Linked DNA regions of Pelodiscus sinensis. The protein of the gene in region 1 binds, or shares a complex with, the protein of each later gene. Links are inferred from orthologs where the notes say so. Each region holds a gene or a part of one and is shown in the gene's direction. Other genes may lie near its edges.

Region 1 (7,676 bases):
ATGCTCACAATTTTTATATACTTTACCCAACCACAACTGTTTTGCATTTATATTAAAAAGAAACAGCACTCACATAACCTGTTAACTCTTAAGACATTATATGCGTGTTTGTATACAAGATGGCTAGTTTGATAATTTAAAAACAGCTAATAAAATGTAATTTTGAATAATGTCTTATTTTATTGCTCCATATCAAACATGGTGTTCTCTTGTTATTGGCAGGCTATTCAGACAAGTTCAGAATTTTCAGAAAAAAATGATGGGCTGGACCTTCCAGTATATTTGGCATTGCAGAGAAGCCCAGAGAAACCCCAAAGCCAATGTGTCCAGCTATAGGAGAAGTCTGCATGTAGACACTCTAACAGTTCCTATGTCAATCACTATTCTGGCTGCTGACTACAGGGTATGTGGCCCAGAAGACAGGAGTAGCCGATAGTCCCTTATACCCCAGTGATCCCCAGCTTCTGTAATAGTCCCTTTCAGACCCATATGCAGGAATTTTGGGGGTGTGTATGTGTGTGCTTTTTTTGTAAATGTGGAGGTTAGTTTTTTTAAATAGAGATTTCCTGCTGCTCCTTCTCCCCAGAGTGATATTTAAATCTGTTTTGAATAAAAATTGGAACAACTGCAATATAAGGGACAGTTTTTTATAAAGGGCTTTATTTTTAAATAATTTTCATTTAAATTTGAAATGGTTCCTTATTTTCCAGTTATATTCCAGTTGTGCCTAAAAACCAATTAAAAAAAAAACTAATTTAAACAAGAATAATATTAGTAATACACGGAATCAAACAAGTTGCAGTGAAATTGCCTATATACAGCCATTTCAAAATAAACTGTCAGTGATAGAAAGCTAACACGTACATTTAATCAGTTTGTCTATTGTTGCTTTATATTGGCGTCCTAACTGGTAGCCATCTTTGCTACCAAGCAGCGCTAGTCGCCCAATGACTGTGGGTCGCCCAGCAGGCCCCAATTATATCCTATATCTGGGGTGCACAAGACGTCGATTGCTGTCGACTCGTCAATCACAAGCAGTCAACCAATAGATCATGAAGCAGACTGGCAGTCCACTTCCCCGGCCACCTGAGAGAACTGGGGCAGAATCAGCCTGTCTGGCTGGGGTTTGGCTGTGGCAGGCTGCCCCAAGCCATGAGAGGGGCTGGTTGCTGCCCTGTTCCTGCCACAGCAGCCCAGCCCTGCCCTCTGCCTTGCTCTTGGGTGGGGGTCAGCCCCAGCCTTTTCCTGGCCGGCCGAAACATGGGGGAGGGAGGCTGGGGCAACTTGAGAAACTATACGAAGGGCGCATTCACATCCTTCGCACCACCCCCTGAACGGGCTTGCCGTAGGACTGATGGCCTTGATGCATATTGGAGCAGACTTCAGGCTGCTCTGACTTGCACTTAAGAGTCCAATTCATTCCCCCACCAACCTGCCACAAGGTGATTCCTTGGTCACAACTTGAAGATCTGGCTCTCTATCAGTAAGTATATACTGCAAAAAAAGAACTGCAGTAGTGAGTCTCAGAGCATGGATCAAATGACTCAAGCTTGGGGAGCTTGCACTATGAGGCTAAATATTGCAGTGTAAATATTCAGATTGAGAATGGTGTCCAGACTCTTGAAACCTGGTGAGAGGGGTGGGTCTCAGAGCCTGGGCCCAAGCCCAAACCCAAATGTCTTGTACGCTGCTGCTGTTACCCAATAGCATAAGACTGACTTGGTTTACTCAGGCTCTCTGACTTACAGCTGCAGTGGTTTTATTTTTGCTGGGTAGACTTCTGCCTCCAATCAGCTGGCTTTTGATGTCTTTTTTTTCCCCTAAACATTGGCGGCACAATCAAAGGATTTGTTCAATACAATACATACATAAAACAAAAATCTTAAGATGTGTCATTTAGCTAATATTTCCTGAAATACAGCACATCTCCTGGGGATTATTGATTAGCTGTGAAGGACTGATGTCCTGATAGTGGAAGGTCATCAATCCCAGCTGGCTACCACTCCCTGGGAAATGCCTCCACACTAAAATCATCTTTGATTTTAGAAACAGGAAATGGAAACAATAAAAAAGGGAATGTTGATGTAGTTTTCAGTTGTTCTGAATTAGGCAATGTTAGAGAGTTAATGATATGTACATCAGCTATATTGCTAACTCGTCACTTGCCATCCATCTCAGTTTATATACAAATTCAAATCATGTAACAGGGAAATACTGTGAAAATAAGATGGTTATAATCAATGGGCTCTGCATTTCTGGATACTTCAGAATAATCTTTGAGAACCTTGTTTTATACATGAAGTAAAATGCAAAATCTCTTCAAAATACATATATATGATGTTACATGCTGATCTCTGTTTCAGCAGTGTAGGTCTGATCTTTTAATTGGATTAAATTAGATCAGTGAATGGCTAAAAGTCAAAAGTCCTCGGAGATAAAGATACATGCTTACAACTGAGAGAAGAATTTAACAATGCATGCTTATGAATGCATGCATTAATGTAGACAACCCCCTTGGTATCAGGTTTATATGGGTACAATTGGGGGCAGAACTTGTCCCCTAGAGAGAGAGACACTATTCTGAGGGCAGGAAGAAACATCATTTCTCCCGTCACCAGGACATGATAGATGTTTCTGCTTCTTTGCACTGTACCAGTTGGTTTCAACCTGCACTCCGCAGACTTATGTCTAAGAGGTCCATGGAACAGTGGAGAGTCCACAGACTACGTTTTAAGATTTAGATAGGGGTCCACACCTGCATTTGAAATTGTTTAAGGTACACAAATGAAAAAATGTTGAAAACCATTGCACTAGACAGAAGAATGAAAGGGGGGAAAAGGTGGTTGTAAGCCACTTTGTGCCTCTTGAATTCACTGCTTCAGGGCAACACATGACCCTTTAATGACCATGGACAACAAACTGTATTGCATAAAACAGGCATTATCCTAAGAGCAGGACAGATCTTTCCATTGTCCCTTTGTTGTTGGTAATACTGTCTTCTTTATTTTGCTGTTTATATGTGTGTGTTCTATTAGTTCATCTTTTTGCATATTTTTATTACTTAAAAGGGACAAATTCTTACCAGTTATACTGGTTTCAATCCAGAGTAACTACATTGAGTTTAATCGTTCATTTGGATTTCCATTAGTGTAAATTAGACCAGATTCTGACTCAGTATTAGATTAATCCTGGTTTAACATAAGGGCCTGATTTATCACTTTGTTACTCCAGTGTTGCTTTCATGTAGCTCCTTAATCTAGTTGCCCTGTTCTTAAAGGCTGGAAGCTGTATTGGTGGCTGAGATGATGTCACTTTCGCTGTAAGGAAAGGAACTTGCAGAAACCTTAGTGCCATTGGTGGAAGTCCTGCCAGTTCCAATTGTTATGGGATAATATACTTACCCACTCTTAACATGAATCCGGTTAGGATCCTCCTCAAAAGGAGGGGAAAGGGATGCTAAATAACCAATGACTTTTAGGAACAATGTCTCTGGCTAATTATCCATTCAATCAATCAGCTTCCCTTTTGAAGGCTATTTCTGCCCCAGTTCATTGGTTGATTGCAAATAGCTAAAACATGCATGTTCTGGAAGGTTTTTTTTTAATACTTCTGTATATCCGGTATATGTCTTTAAAATTCTTTCTCTGTGTAAGAATTCCTAGATTATGCTGCCATCTGGTGGAAAGACAACATCACAATCCTTAGTTTGAAATCACTTTAATACATTTTTTGTAACAAAAGCTTTTATGCTTCCCAACTTCAAATATCAGGGAAGGGATCAGTGATTTAAAAATGACACACTTAGCCATATTAAAAGTATAAATGATTTTGGTGTCAGCAAATAGGAAGATACTAGCTATTACCCTGTCCCCTGCCAGAAACATTTCATCTTGTTTGTCTTTGAAGTGCTGCATAGTCCTGTCTTTTGTTTATGCTCCAATACATCTGTTTAGTCTACAAGGTGCCACTTTAATACAGAAACCCAGTGTTGGGGATGGGCCCAGGCGGTCTCAGGGTTCCCCCTTGGCCCTGGGAGAAGGCAGCGGGTGGAATGAACAAGTCTCCTCCTTTCCCTACCTCCCGAAATGCTGAGCCTGCCACCCCAAACAAGAGAGTAGCTCTCAAAACGTGGGAGGGGCAGTGAGCGCTAGAGAACTACGTCTCCCAGCATGCAAAGCTCAGCTACTGATAGGGAACGCGACGGCCCACTTGCCGCGCTGCATGCTGGGCGGTGTAGTTTGATGTGGCTGCATTACACGTGAAGGCAGAATCCCGATGTCAGTAACTAGCCCTGTAAGGCGGGGGGAGGGGAAGAATACGCCTCTGCGATTCCATTTCATGCAAATAAGGCGCCCACCACCCCAGCCAGATCGCCATGTAAATCCCTATGGGAGAAGCTCTATCGGAGAGCCCACAGCAACAACACAGGCCGCCCGTCGGTCTCGCGAGACCCGCTGGCAAACAGCCCTGTCGCTGAACGGACAGTACCAAATTGGCCCCGCCGTTCCACCTCTCAGCCTATGAGCTTTCGACGTCGCGCCTGGGGGTTCCACGAGCCAATGGCCTCCTCCTCCCCTCGCAGGCCGCGCCGTCTAACCAATGGGAGTAGGGCGCGCGGCTCGGGCCCGTTTTCATCTTCACGGCGCGCGCCCCACGCCGCCGGGATGGTGGGCGGTGCTTTAGCCTGGTGCGAAGGAAGATGGCGGCCCCGGGCAAACGGAAACTCGGGGCCGTCACTGGCGGGCCGAGCGGGAGCGGCGCCGGGTGCAGTAAGCGCGGCTCGGGGGCTGCCAGGCCAGAGGGGAGCGGCCTGGGGCAGCCGCCGTCGCCCTTCGTGGAGGGCTCTGTAGTCAGGGTCACCATGGAGAACTTCCTGTGAGTGCGGGGCAGCAAGAGCCGCGGGGGGAGGGCGTGGCTCGTGCCAGGGGGCTACCGCGAGTCCCTGGCCGCTGGGCTCCGCCAGGCCGTGAGGAGGAGCGTGTGGAGTATGTGGCGCTCGGGGGGGGGGACCTAGCTCCGGGAGTCAGGGGATCGGCCCCGGTTCCTGGAGCTGGGTTGTGCCAGGGGCTGATGAAACTGCACGGAAGGGCCGTCCTACCCCTACTATCCTCTCCCACAGTGAGAGGGAGCCGGCTCCCAGTCCGCCCCCTCCTCCCACCCCCTGACAGGTGGCAGGACTGTTGGGTGGTGCCTGTGCTGGGCCAGTGTGGCTGATGTGGCTCCTGACCCCCCTCCCCTCCATCCAGTGATCATGGTAGCCAGTTCACAGGCCTTTTGTAAGATGTGGGCAGGGTGTGTGTCACTGGCGCAGGGTGTGTGTCACTGGCGCAGGGTGTGTGTCACTGGCGGTACCTTTAGTGTTGGACAGCACCACTGCACACAGCTTGGGCAAGGTGCTGTGTGTTGGCTAGCGCGTTCTTCTCATGCCTTATTTGGAACTGTGTTCCCCATCCCCAGAAAAAAAATAGTCGTAGCCTTATGGCTGGGGACAAGCAACCTGGATGTTTGCTGAACTCTGCAGACAGGCTGGGAAAGGACTGTGTTTGGAGTTGTGGGCTGGGCTTATTTATCACAATAAGTAAACACCAAGGCCTGTCTATGCTAGGAGATTAGGCTGAATTTTACTGCATAAGGTCAATTTTTCTAAAAAATGAGTCCACGTTATCAAGCCTAAGCTGATCTGTAATCGTTATGGTAACAGATAAGCTAATGCTTCTTGTATAACTATTTAAGCAGTTAAGCTATTACATTCCTAGTGTAGATCCAGCATGGAGGAAGTCAAGGTTTTTGTCCTCCAGGAGGCAACTCAGTGCCATGCTCTCGCCAGAAATTGTGCCTCTACTGATCTTCAAGTGAACAGGAAAAGACCTGGGAAAGTTTGAATTTTCATTTCCTATGTGGCCAGCGTTGTGAGCACACCTCATAGTAATCCGCATACCTGGTCATGATTCCCATAAATTCGAATTCCCAGGGTGCCAGTTCCCAGAGGTGCAAAAGACCACAAGCATAGAGTGTGCAGGAGATCTTGGACCTCATTGAGGCATAGGGTGAAGAATCCATTTTGTCTGATTTCTGAAACAGCAAAAGAAACACTGATAACCATGCTAAGATAGCATGGTGCCTGGTGGAGAGAAAATACTCCAGGGACTCCTAACAGTGCAGAGTTAAAATAAAGGAGCTGAGGCAGTCCTATTACAAAATAAGAAGCAAATGGACTCTGGTGCATGGCTGTAAAAATGCTGCTTTTACAAATTGCTGCATGTTATCCTACGGGGGGACTCGACCCACTTCCCAGGCCAGATTGTGGAATCCTCCCAAGACACACGGGGCAACAGAGTGGAGGATAGGGAGGTGGTGGAAGAGGACGAGGAGGACAAGGAGAACAGCCAGCTTGTGAGTGGTGAGCGCCGCCTACTTTTCATCACTTTGGAGCCAATTCCCTCCTCCCAGAACATCTCACAATCAAGCAATAATTCTGGGGAGGACACTTCTGGTGAGTTCACAATTTTTTTTCCTTGGATGTGATGCATAAACTGTGCTACATGCAAGATGGGGGCACAGAACAGCTTGTTAATATATCTGGAGATGGAGAAGGAATCCTCCCTGCATATCTCCATGAAGCTCTCATAGAGGAACTCTGATCCCTCTCACAGTGTTTCTGGGGAGACCAGCCTTATTCCATCATCCATGGTAGGACTCCTTCCCATGCTAAGTCAGCAGTAAGTGGTCTGGTGTCACTGCAGCACAAAGCCTGGCAGCATAAGGCCCAGGTTTCTGGCCACCTTCAGTCAACATCAGCTCCCTATCACTCTGTGTGAATTGGAGAAGACTGATATCTCGCATGACAACTTGGATGAAGGAGCGGGAGAAGCTTTTAGCTGCTGCCTCTGCTGCTAGCATGGCTTCAGACTCTGCTATCCTCCTACCCCTCAGGCTCCTGCAAGATGGGAGAATAGCGTTCTCCCAAGAAGCAGGTTGTAGTGAATGCAGAGGAGGAAAGCCACGTGAGTCACTGTCCTGCCCCAGCGTCCTCCCCCCCGCCCGCAGGATCATGCCCTGGCAGGCCCCTTACCATGCTTGCCTCCAGATTGTGAGTCCAGAGGCTCTCTTGAGAACCCTGTTGTGTACCTGCTTTACAGTGTCTGCTTTAAAGCATGACTTTGGCCTTGCAAAAGCTTATAGGTTAATTCTTTAGACCAGTGTTTCCTGATTTTATTTGGCCATGGAACTCTTTTCAGCTTAAAATATTTTCAAGGAACCCCTACTGGGACCTACTACCCCTGCTATGGGTATGCATTTAAAATGTATTAGGAGCCAGGTGGACTGGCAGCCTCCTAAGTTCCGGTTCACACTGGCCCTATTCTCGGGGACTATAGAATAGTTGACTAACTGATAAGAATTCCTGAAGTTAATTGACTATTCAATTAACTGATATTGAACATCCCTACCTTGCACATTTTCATTGTCGTTAGAGAGATCTTCACTGTATATTTATAGATTAGGTTTTAGACTCCACAATGCATCTCCTGTAATGTGTGTCCTTGTAACTTTGTTACAGTGGGAACAGCAGGGAGCTTGTTGCATACTCCCTGGCTCCAGCAGCTGTCCAAATTACACAAATCCGCAGGCAAAAATGGACAAGAGAAGACATGTTTAAAGAGCAAATGGAGTGGAGT
Region 2 (7,145 bases), on another chromosome or scaffold:
TTAAAAAGGCCTACTTTTTAAATTTTAGTTTTTGCAATGGGAGAACGCAACAACTTTTGAGTTTTTTGGGGGAAGGGTTTCCTCTGTAAGTATGCATTTTATACCCCTCTTTTCCCCCCTCACATCCTTCTTTCAAAATGATCTGATGGATCCAATGAAATTCAAAATCAAATTTATGTTGTCTAAACACAAGATCTGATATACTCTGTTTCTGACTCTCAGGAACTAACAAGGCAGTGGAAAAATATTATATGAAATTACTGGATTTAGTTTACTCAGGTAATAAAGAACTAATATGCAGGCATATCCAAACTGTAACCTCATGTTGGCTGAATGTATTGCCAATACTAAATTCAGTATAAAATACATTTTACTAAATTTTCATGTTTGATAGCAATGGGATGGGTCAGTTGATGATTATCTGTTCTGTTTATTTCCTCTAGGGCACCTGGTGTTGGCCACTGCTGGAAGATACTGGGTTAGATGGACCTTTGTTTCAACCCAGTATGGCCATTCTTATGCAAATTAATTACTCAAGACCAACAGGTTTAACACAAGCATGCCAAAAGGCTAAAACACCCTAAAGAAATAGTGCTACTGTAAGAAAATGATGGCTCAGAGAGAGATTTAACAAGAGCAAAGTAATATTTACCTTAAAGTAACTGAAATCAAATATGATATCCCCATACTTCTGTTGATCAGCTTTGTCTCTGAGCCTAAAAACACCAGGAATAAACTCAGACAGTCTCAAAAGTTCTGCAATGATAGCATTTCCACAAGAGACAATCCGAAGAATTGCCTGGCCACAGTGATTGTTTTCAGCTAGAAAATCAACCATCTTGAAGATGATTGTGACTGAGTAGTGATATTATTGCAGTCTCTTTCTGAGTTTCAATCTTCATGTCATTTGGAGAAAGAAGTGTAACTGGAAATATATGAGGTCCATTTGAAATTCCTGTAAAAACAAATTGCATATTCAGCATATTTTAAATGACTCAATCTACAAGAAATTAAAGCAACTCTGGAAAATCTATAGTAACAGAACTCTATATTCTCCAGAAATTGTGATTAGATGACAGATGAAAAAATAAACACGGTAGTGCATCTTCTGCATCTAAACAGCAGTTACCTAATCATCTCAGAGATTAGATTAAAAATTTACTGGATAGCTACTAAAGGGCAAAATAATCAGAGCAGGTGTCAGGCCTTGCAGCAAAATGTAAACATTGACACAAGGATTGCACAGAGCAGTTTAGATCTACAACACAACACAAGCAAATATGCTACAGCATAGATCAATGACAGCTAATTACAGTTCAGGGTCATTTATTCATTGCTACACAGACACCTTTTGTATTGTGGTTAAATTTCCAAGCCATAGTGATCTTTCTCCAAGTCAGAAATCTTAATTTTCCCAGTTAAAAAGAGCCCAAGAACACCTTAACCAGCTGCAGTGTTTATATTTGTCTATGTGCCTCTATGTGCTAGGGAACTCCTAGGCCCTCTCTCCCCAAAGAAAGAGAACATTATAAGAAAACAAATATGTTGCTGCTTTACTCCCAGGTGGTATTGGTATATTTCACTGTACTATATTGCACAATGTATTTTAATACTAATGGAAACCAGTAACAATCTCTTTCCAATATAGCTGAAATATTTATCTAATATGTAGTCCTCTTTTACAAAAGGGGTAAACATAAATGTGAAGTTGCACTTCCATATACTTTACAGAAATATGCTTTTGAATATGAATATGCCTAACTTGAATATGATTTGTGCAATATATAGCATATAATTCTATTTGAAAAGCATGTAATCCACTGAATGTGTATAATCTATATATGCATGTATCGTTTCTGTATTCTCTATGATCAAACCTGTCACAATAAATATAGCCATTTTATAGATAAATTATCTGACCCACAGGAATAAGTTAACTGAGCCACAGGAAAGTTATATTACTTGCCCAAGATGACAAAACAAGTAAGTGACAGAGGTAGGAAGAGAAGGTAGGTATCCAGAAACACAGCCTGAGCTACAGTTGTCACTGGAGCAAACACAGAGCGCAAACAAGGCTTCTTAAAACAAAATCACAAGTGTTGCAAGCACCTCCTTCTTCATACAATTTCAGTCAATACAATCATATGTAAAGTATGAATAAGAAATGAAAATTATGTCTTAAGCTTGCAAACAGTTCAGTTAAACAATTTGTTTCATTTTTGCATGTCTCTCAGCTTGGCCAATGGAAATCAAAGGCAATTATATTTATGATCACTTTCCCTGTGAGATATTTACTGCAACAATGTCAAAGACATCTGTTTTCATTTTTAAAAACCATCTGTGGAAACTTTTGTATTTATATTAGACTCACAAAAGCTTATTTTAAGAAATGTTGAGCTAAATGCAAGTTGAAAGCTTCTCCTTTAAAGCCACTCTGCTACAACACACCTAGTAAGGGTCCAATCTTTCTCTTAAGTACACAGCCCTGGAATGAATTTTGCATGGGTGCAGAAGTTGGCCTGTACAGTACTTATTGCAGGACCAGGGCCTAAATCAAGGAGAGCATGAATGGGCTTTAAATTATTCCTCATCCTGTTCTTAAAAAAATGGTTTCTTGATTTTAAATGAATATCACATTAAAATATTTCTAAGTCAGCCTGACAGTTGTCCAAAAGGAATAATTCGCAGAAGCGGTTAGGTCTTGTTCCCTGGGACAGAGAGAGGCCCTCATTTTGGTGTAATTATTAAAGGCTGCTTTTAGCAGTCAAAGGCTTTTGCTTTTGTTTCAGCTACACCAGACTAACACGGCTACATTTCTATCGCTTTTGCACAGTATGTTTCAAGGGGATACCCAAGAAGTCATTTGCATTCACCCAGCTGTGATCTCCAGCATGTGCGTTGGAATACACCTCAGCCCCACTCGCTGCCCGCCCCTGCGCGCAAACCATTTTCCTTTGCACCAAATCCGCAGCCACCAGGCACTTGCGCGGTATCCTCTCCTCCAGAGAAATGCCCAGAGAGTGCTTGACAAACACCCCCCACTTTCCCACCAGCACAGCCAGCCCCACACTAATCCCCAGCACCCCCTCAGCGCAGGACCACCCCAGAAATAACCGCCCCCAAAGTCACAGCATCCCCCAAAGTCATAGCACCCTCTCAGCACAGGACCACCCCAGAATTAACTGTCCCCCAAAGTCACAGCACCCCCTCAGCGCAGGACCACCCCAGAAATAACTGCCCCCAAAGTCACAGCATCCCCCAAAGTCATAGCACCCCCTCAGCGCAGGACCACCCCAGAATTAACCGCCCCCCAAAGTCATAGCACCCCCTCAGCGCAGGACCACCCCAGAATTAACCGCCCCCCAAAGTCATAGCATCTCCCAAAGTCATAGCACCCCCTCAGCACAGGACCACCCCAGAATTAACCGCCCCCCAAAGTCATAGCACCCCCTCAGCGCAGGACCACCCCAGAATTAATTGCCCCCAAAGTCATAGCACCCCTCAGCACAGGATCACCCCAGAATTAACCGCCCCCACAGTCACAGCATCTCCAAAAGTCATAGCACCCCTCAGCACAGGACCACCCCAGAATTAACCGCCCCCCAAAGTCATAGCACCCCCTCAGCGCAGGACCACCCCAGAATTAATTGCCCCCAAAGTCATAGCACCCCTCAGCACAGGATCACCCCAGAATTAACCGCCCCCAAAGTCACAGCATCTCCCAAAGTCATAGCACCCCCTCAGCGCAGGACCACCCCAGAATTAACCGCCCCCAAAGTCACAGCATCTCCCAAAGTCATAGCACCCCCTCAGCACAGGACCACCCCAGAATTAACCGCCCCCCAAAGTCAAAGCACCCGCCTCCTCAGGGGTGGGTGGAGCCCCTGCTTCCCCCCTCCACCCCAAATATGAGCCCCCCAAGAAAGACCAGGGCCTGTCAACCCCCCTTACTGAGCCAGTCGCGCCCCGGTTGCTGGCCGGGCTCCCCCAGGCCTCTCAGGCCGACGCAGGCGACTGCAGGCCCGGCCGCCCCACACGGAAGCTCTCCGCGCAGCGGCCCGCCTACCCCGCGCCGGCGGCCCTGGGTCATGTGCACCGGCGCCGGCTGATGAGTCGGTTCCTGCCCGCGGCCCGCCTGCGCCGCGGAGAGACCTCGCCAACGGTGGGGGGGGAGGCGAGCGCGGCCTGTTGCCGCTGCCGGTTCGGGGCTTGGCACCAGGTAGGGGGGCAGCTGCGGCCCCGCCAGAGCTACGGGCAGAGTAGGGGTTGGCGGGCGGCTGCTGCTAGAGGGGGAAGCAGCCAGCAATGAGGGGGCGGGGGAGAGGCTGGCAGGCCTCCCTCAAGCACTCAGCTGTGTGTGTGTGTGTGTGAGAGGGTGTGTGTGTGTGTTTAGGAGTGTAGTGTGTGTGTGTGTGTGTGATGCTCCCCACTTAGGTTAGACTCCAGAGGCTGCTCCCTAACAAGATGCATCTGTTGCCCCTGAGGCATCTCTTGCAGCTCCCTCCAGCATGGGTCAGTCTAGAGCAGGGTGGGCAATAATTTTAGACGGGAGGCACTTCAGAAATTTTTGAAGTGGCCCCTGGCCACTGTGGAAGGGGAGGGGCCAGGACACTTCTTGCTTTCCTGTCCACAGACCCCGATTGGCCTGGGTGACCCTGTGAAGTCTTTGCCCTCACCCCCCCCCCCCCATAGAGAACCACCAGCTGTTCCCTCTAGGCACCCATGTCCCTGGCAGTGGGCAAAAGGGCGCCCCTTGCAAGGTGGGGACAGGGAGAGAGAGGCTTTGCTTGCTCCCCCTGCCCTCCGGTCAATGAGGGCATGAGAGCAGGGCAAACATGGGGAAATTTCTTGCTCCCTGCCCCTGCCCCACAAGGGGGCCTGGCAGTTGACTCTAACCCTTACAGGGTGGGAGGAGACTGCACGCTTCCCTCCATCCCCAAGCTCTGCTTGGCCTACGGGCAGGCAGAGGGGTTGGGGGGGGAGAACATGTGAAGTCTCTCACTCCATGTCCTGGCCCAGCAAGGGGTGCCCTTTTGCCCACCCCAGCCAAGTGGCAGTGCTACTGTCACCTCCATGCCTGCCAGGCAGAGCCTGTGGTGTGGCCCCAGGATAGGAAGGCCAAGATGGCAGACTTGCATGTTTCAGATGTTTCAGCTGGAACTCTTCCCCCATCGGGTTGCGGAGGATGGGGAGAGATGGGGTTGGGGATCAGCATTAGGACAATGAAGACAGAAGAACAAAGGGGAGCACAGAGTGTCTGGGAGGGTGGCCTTGAGAGTAAGGATGTGTTAGGTAGCAGGTAATTGACTAGTCATGTACTCAATACAATTTATACTTACTACGTTTAAAAGGCAGAGCTTCTTAACTACATTTAAAAATTAGAGGTGTGGTGGTCCAGGACCCGGCGTGAGCTAGGATTGCTGAATCCCATCTTGTGCTGGGTCCACTGCTGCAGCTCTGCCTTTTAAATATAGTATCATTGATACAGTTTGTAAATTATACAAAAATTGGGGTCCTGGTAAATAATGAAGAGGACAGGTCACTGATTCAGAGCAATTTGGATTGCTTAAAAGCTAGTTCCCCCAGCACTGTCTCTGCAGTGCTACCTGTCCCCCCACCCACACTGCCTCTATCAGAGGCAAATTGTATCAACTATGATGAGTCAATTACCCTCTTCTTAACATCCTTACTAAGGAAACTACAGTGTCAGAAACACACTCCTCATCCTTCTGGCAGCAGCTAGAAAGCAGTGCAGTATAAGCATAAATATCTGAATAATGCAATGACATAAAACACAAAGTAATGCTGTTGGAAAACATAATCTGAGCTATACCTACAGTGTGATGAGTTGTACTAGCTAATTTAGACCTCAAGAGGGAGATCAAGGAATCATGGTGAATAGTTCACAGAAAACATGTTCAATGTCCAGGCAGTCAAAATAGGTAACAATGTTAGGCATCATTAGAAAAGGGAAAGATAGTAAATAAGGATATAATTTTGTCATGGAAGTTATGGATTCCATGACTTTAATGGACCCATGTGGCTTCTTTGACTACAGCTGCACCACACCAGGAGTGTTGAAGCAGCTGTCAGCCTCCACCCCTGCTCCTGGGTCTGAAGCAGCTTTAAGTCACCCCACCAACAGGGTGGATCTCGGATTGTCAGGTTCCCCACCTTACAGACATGGATTTTATGAATTTTTGTTTGTTGCCTGTTACCTGTCTGTGACTTTGAAAAATTTCTATGGCAAAATCTCAACCTTAATAATAGAACAAAAATATCCTAATACCTCTGTATAAATCCATAGTATGTCCAAATCTTTAATACTGCATGTAGATTTGGTCATCCCCTCTCAAAAACGATATATTAGAATTGGAAAAGGAAAGGGAAGCAACCCCATGCAGTGGGTGTCCTTAGCCTCTGTTTGCTAGCAATTTAGAAGAAAGATTGGATGGCTAACAGTTAGCAACTACCTTGAATCATATTTAGCCATCCAATCTTTCTCCTAAATTGCTAGGTGAAAACTTTATTTTTAGTCTTTTGGTGCGCTTTTAGAAAGATTGTCTTCTCACAGTGTTTTTTATATATATACTTTAAACTTTATACTGCAGAATCCGCAGTGTGTGGAACTGCTGAGATTTTAAAAAGTTTAAATATTTTTGTCTTTTTGGTCTTAAATATAGTGTGTTTCCACTAGTAAAAACTGCAAGGTTCTTGCCCGCCCGGTGCTCAGGGGCCAGAAGGAAAGAGCCACCCATCTCGGCTCAGGGGCAGCTCTGCTTCCACCGCGGTGATCTGGAGACTCAGCCCCCTCCGTCTCCTCTCCCCATGCTCTGATGGCTCAGTCCCCTCCTTTCCCTTTCCCTCCCCTCTCCTTGTGTTCTGCAGGCTCAGCTCCCACTGTCTCTACTCCATGAGGTGCTGCACTGAGCCAGGCCGCATTGGCACGTGCACAGGAGCGGTATGTTGAAAATCCCATGACATACGGACAAGAACAGTGGCTGCTTAGAAAGATTCTCTAAAAAGATGGTCTAATAAGCTTTATACTGCAGAGCCTACAGTGAAGCCTCCCTGAGAGTGGGGTTACCAGTCCCTGTCGGCTCTGCTCCTGGAGAGGAGGCTTCCCTGCCACAGAGGAGCTGGTG

The links.
Region 2: SMC5 (region 1) and NSMCE2 share a complex: the UniProt entries of both Homo sapiens proteins name them as parts of the SMC5-SMC6 complex. The link is inferred for Pelodiscus sinensis from reciprocal best matches to the Homo sapiens genes SMC5 and NSMCE2.

The regions. Positions count from the first base shown.
Region 1 is NC_134716.1:32,820,497-32,828,172, forward strand, and holds the start of SMC5 (structural maintenance of chromosomes protein 5), read left to right. Parts: upstream 1-4,503; 5' UTR 4,504-4,699; coding exon 4,700-4,875; intron 4,876-7,676. UniProt on the Homo sapiens protein: Core component of the SMC5-SMC6 complex, a complex involved in repair of DNA double-strand breaks by homologous recombination.
Region 2 is NC_134712.1:18,606,109-18,613,253, reverse strand, and holds the start of NSMCE2 (E3 SUMO-protein ligase NSE2), read left to right. Parts: upstream 1-4,072; 5' UTR 4,073-4,219; intron 4,220-7,145. Other genes in the region: WASHC5 (WASH complex subunit 5), read right to left, coding at 653-838. UniProt on the Homo sapiens protein: E3 SUMO-protein ligase component of the SMC5-SMC6 complex, a complex involved in DNA double-strand break repair by homologous recombination. Is not be required for the stability of the complex.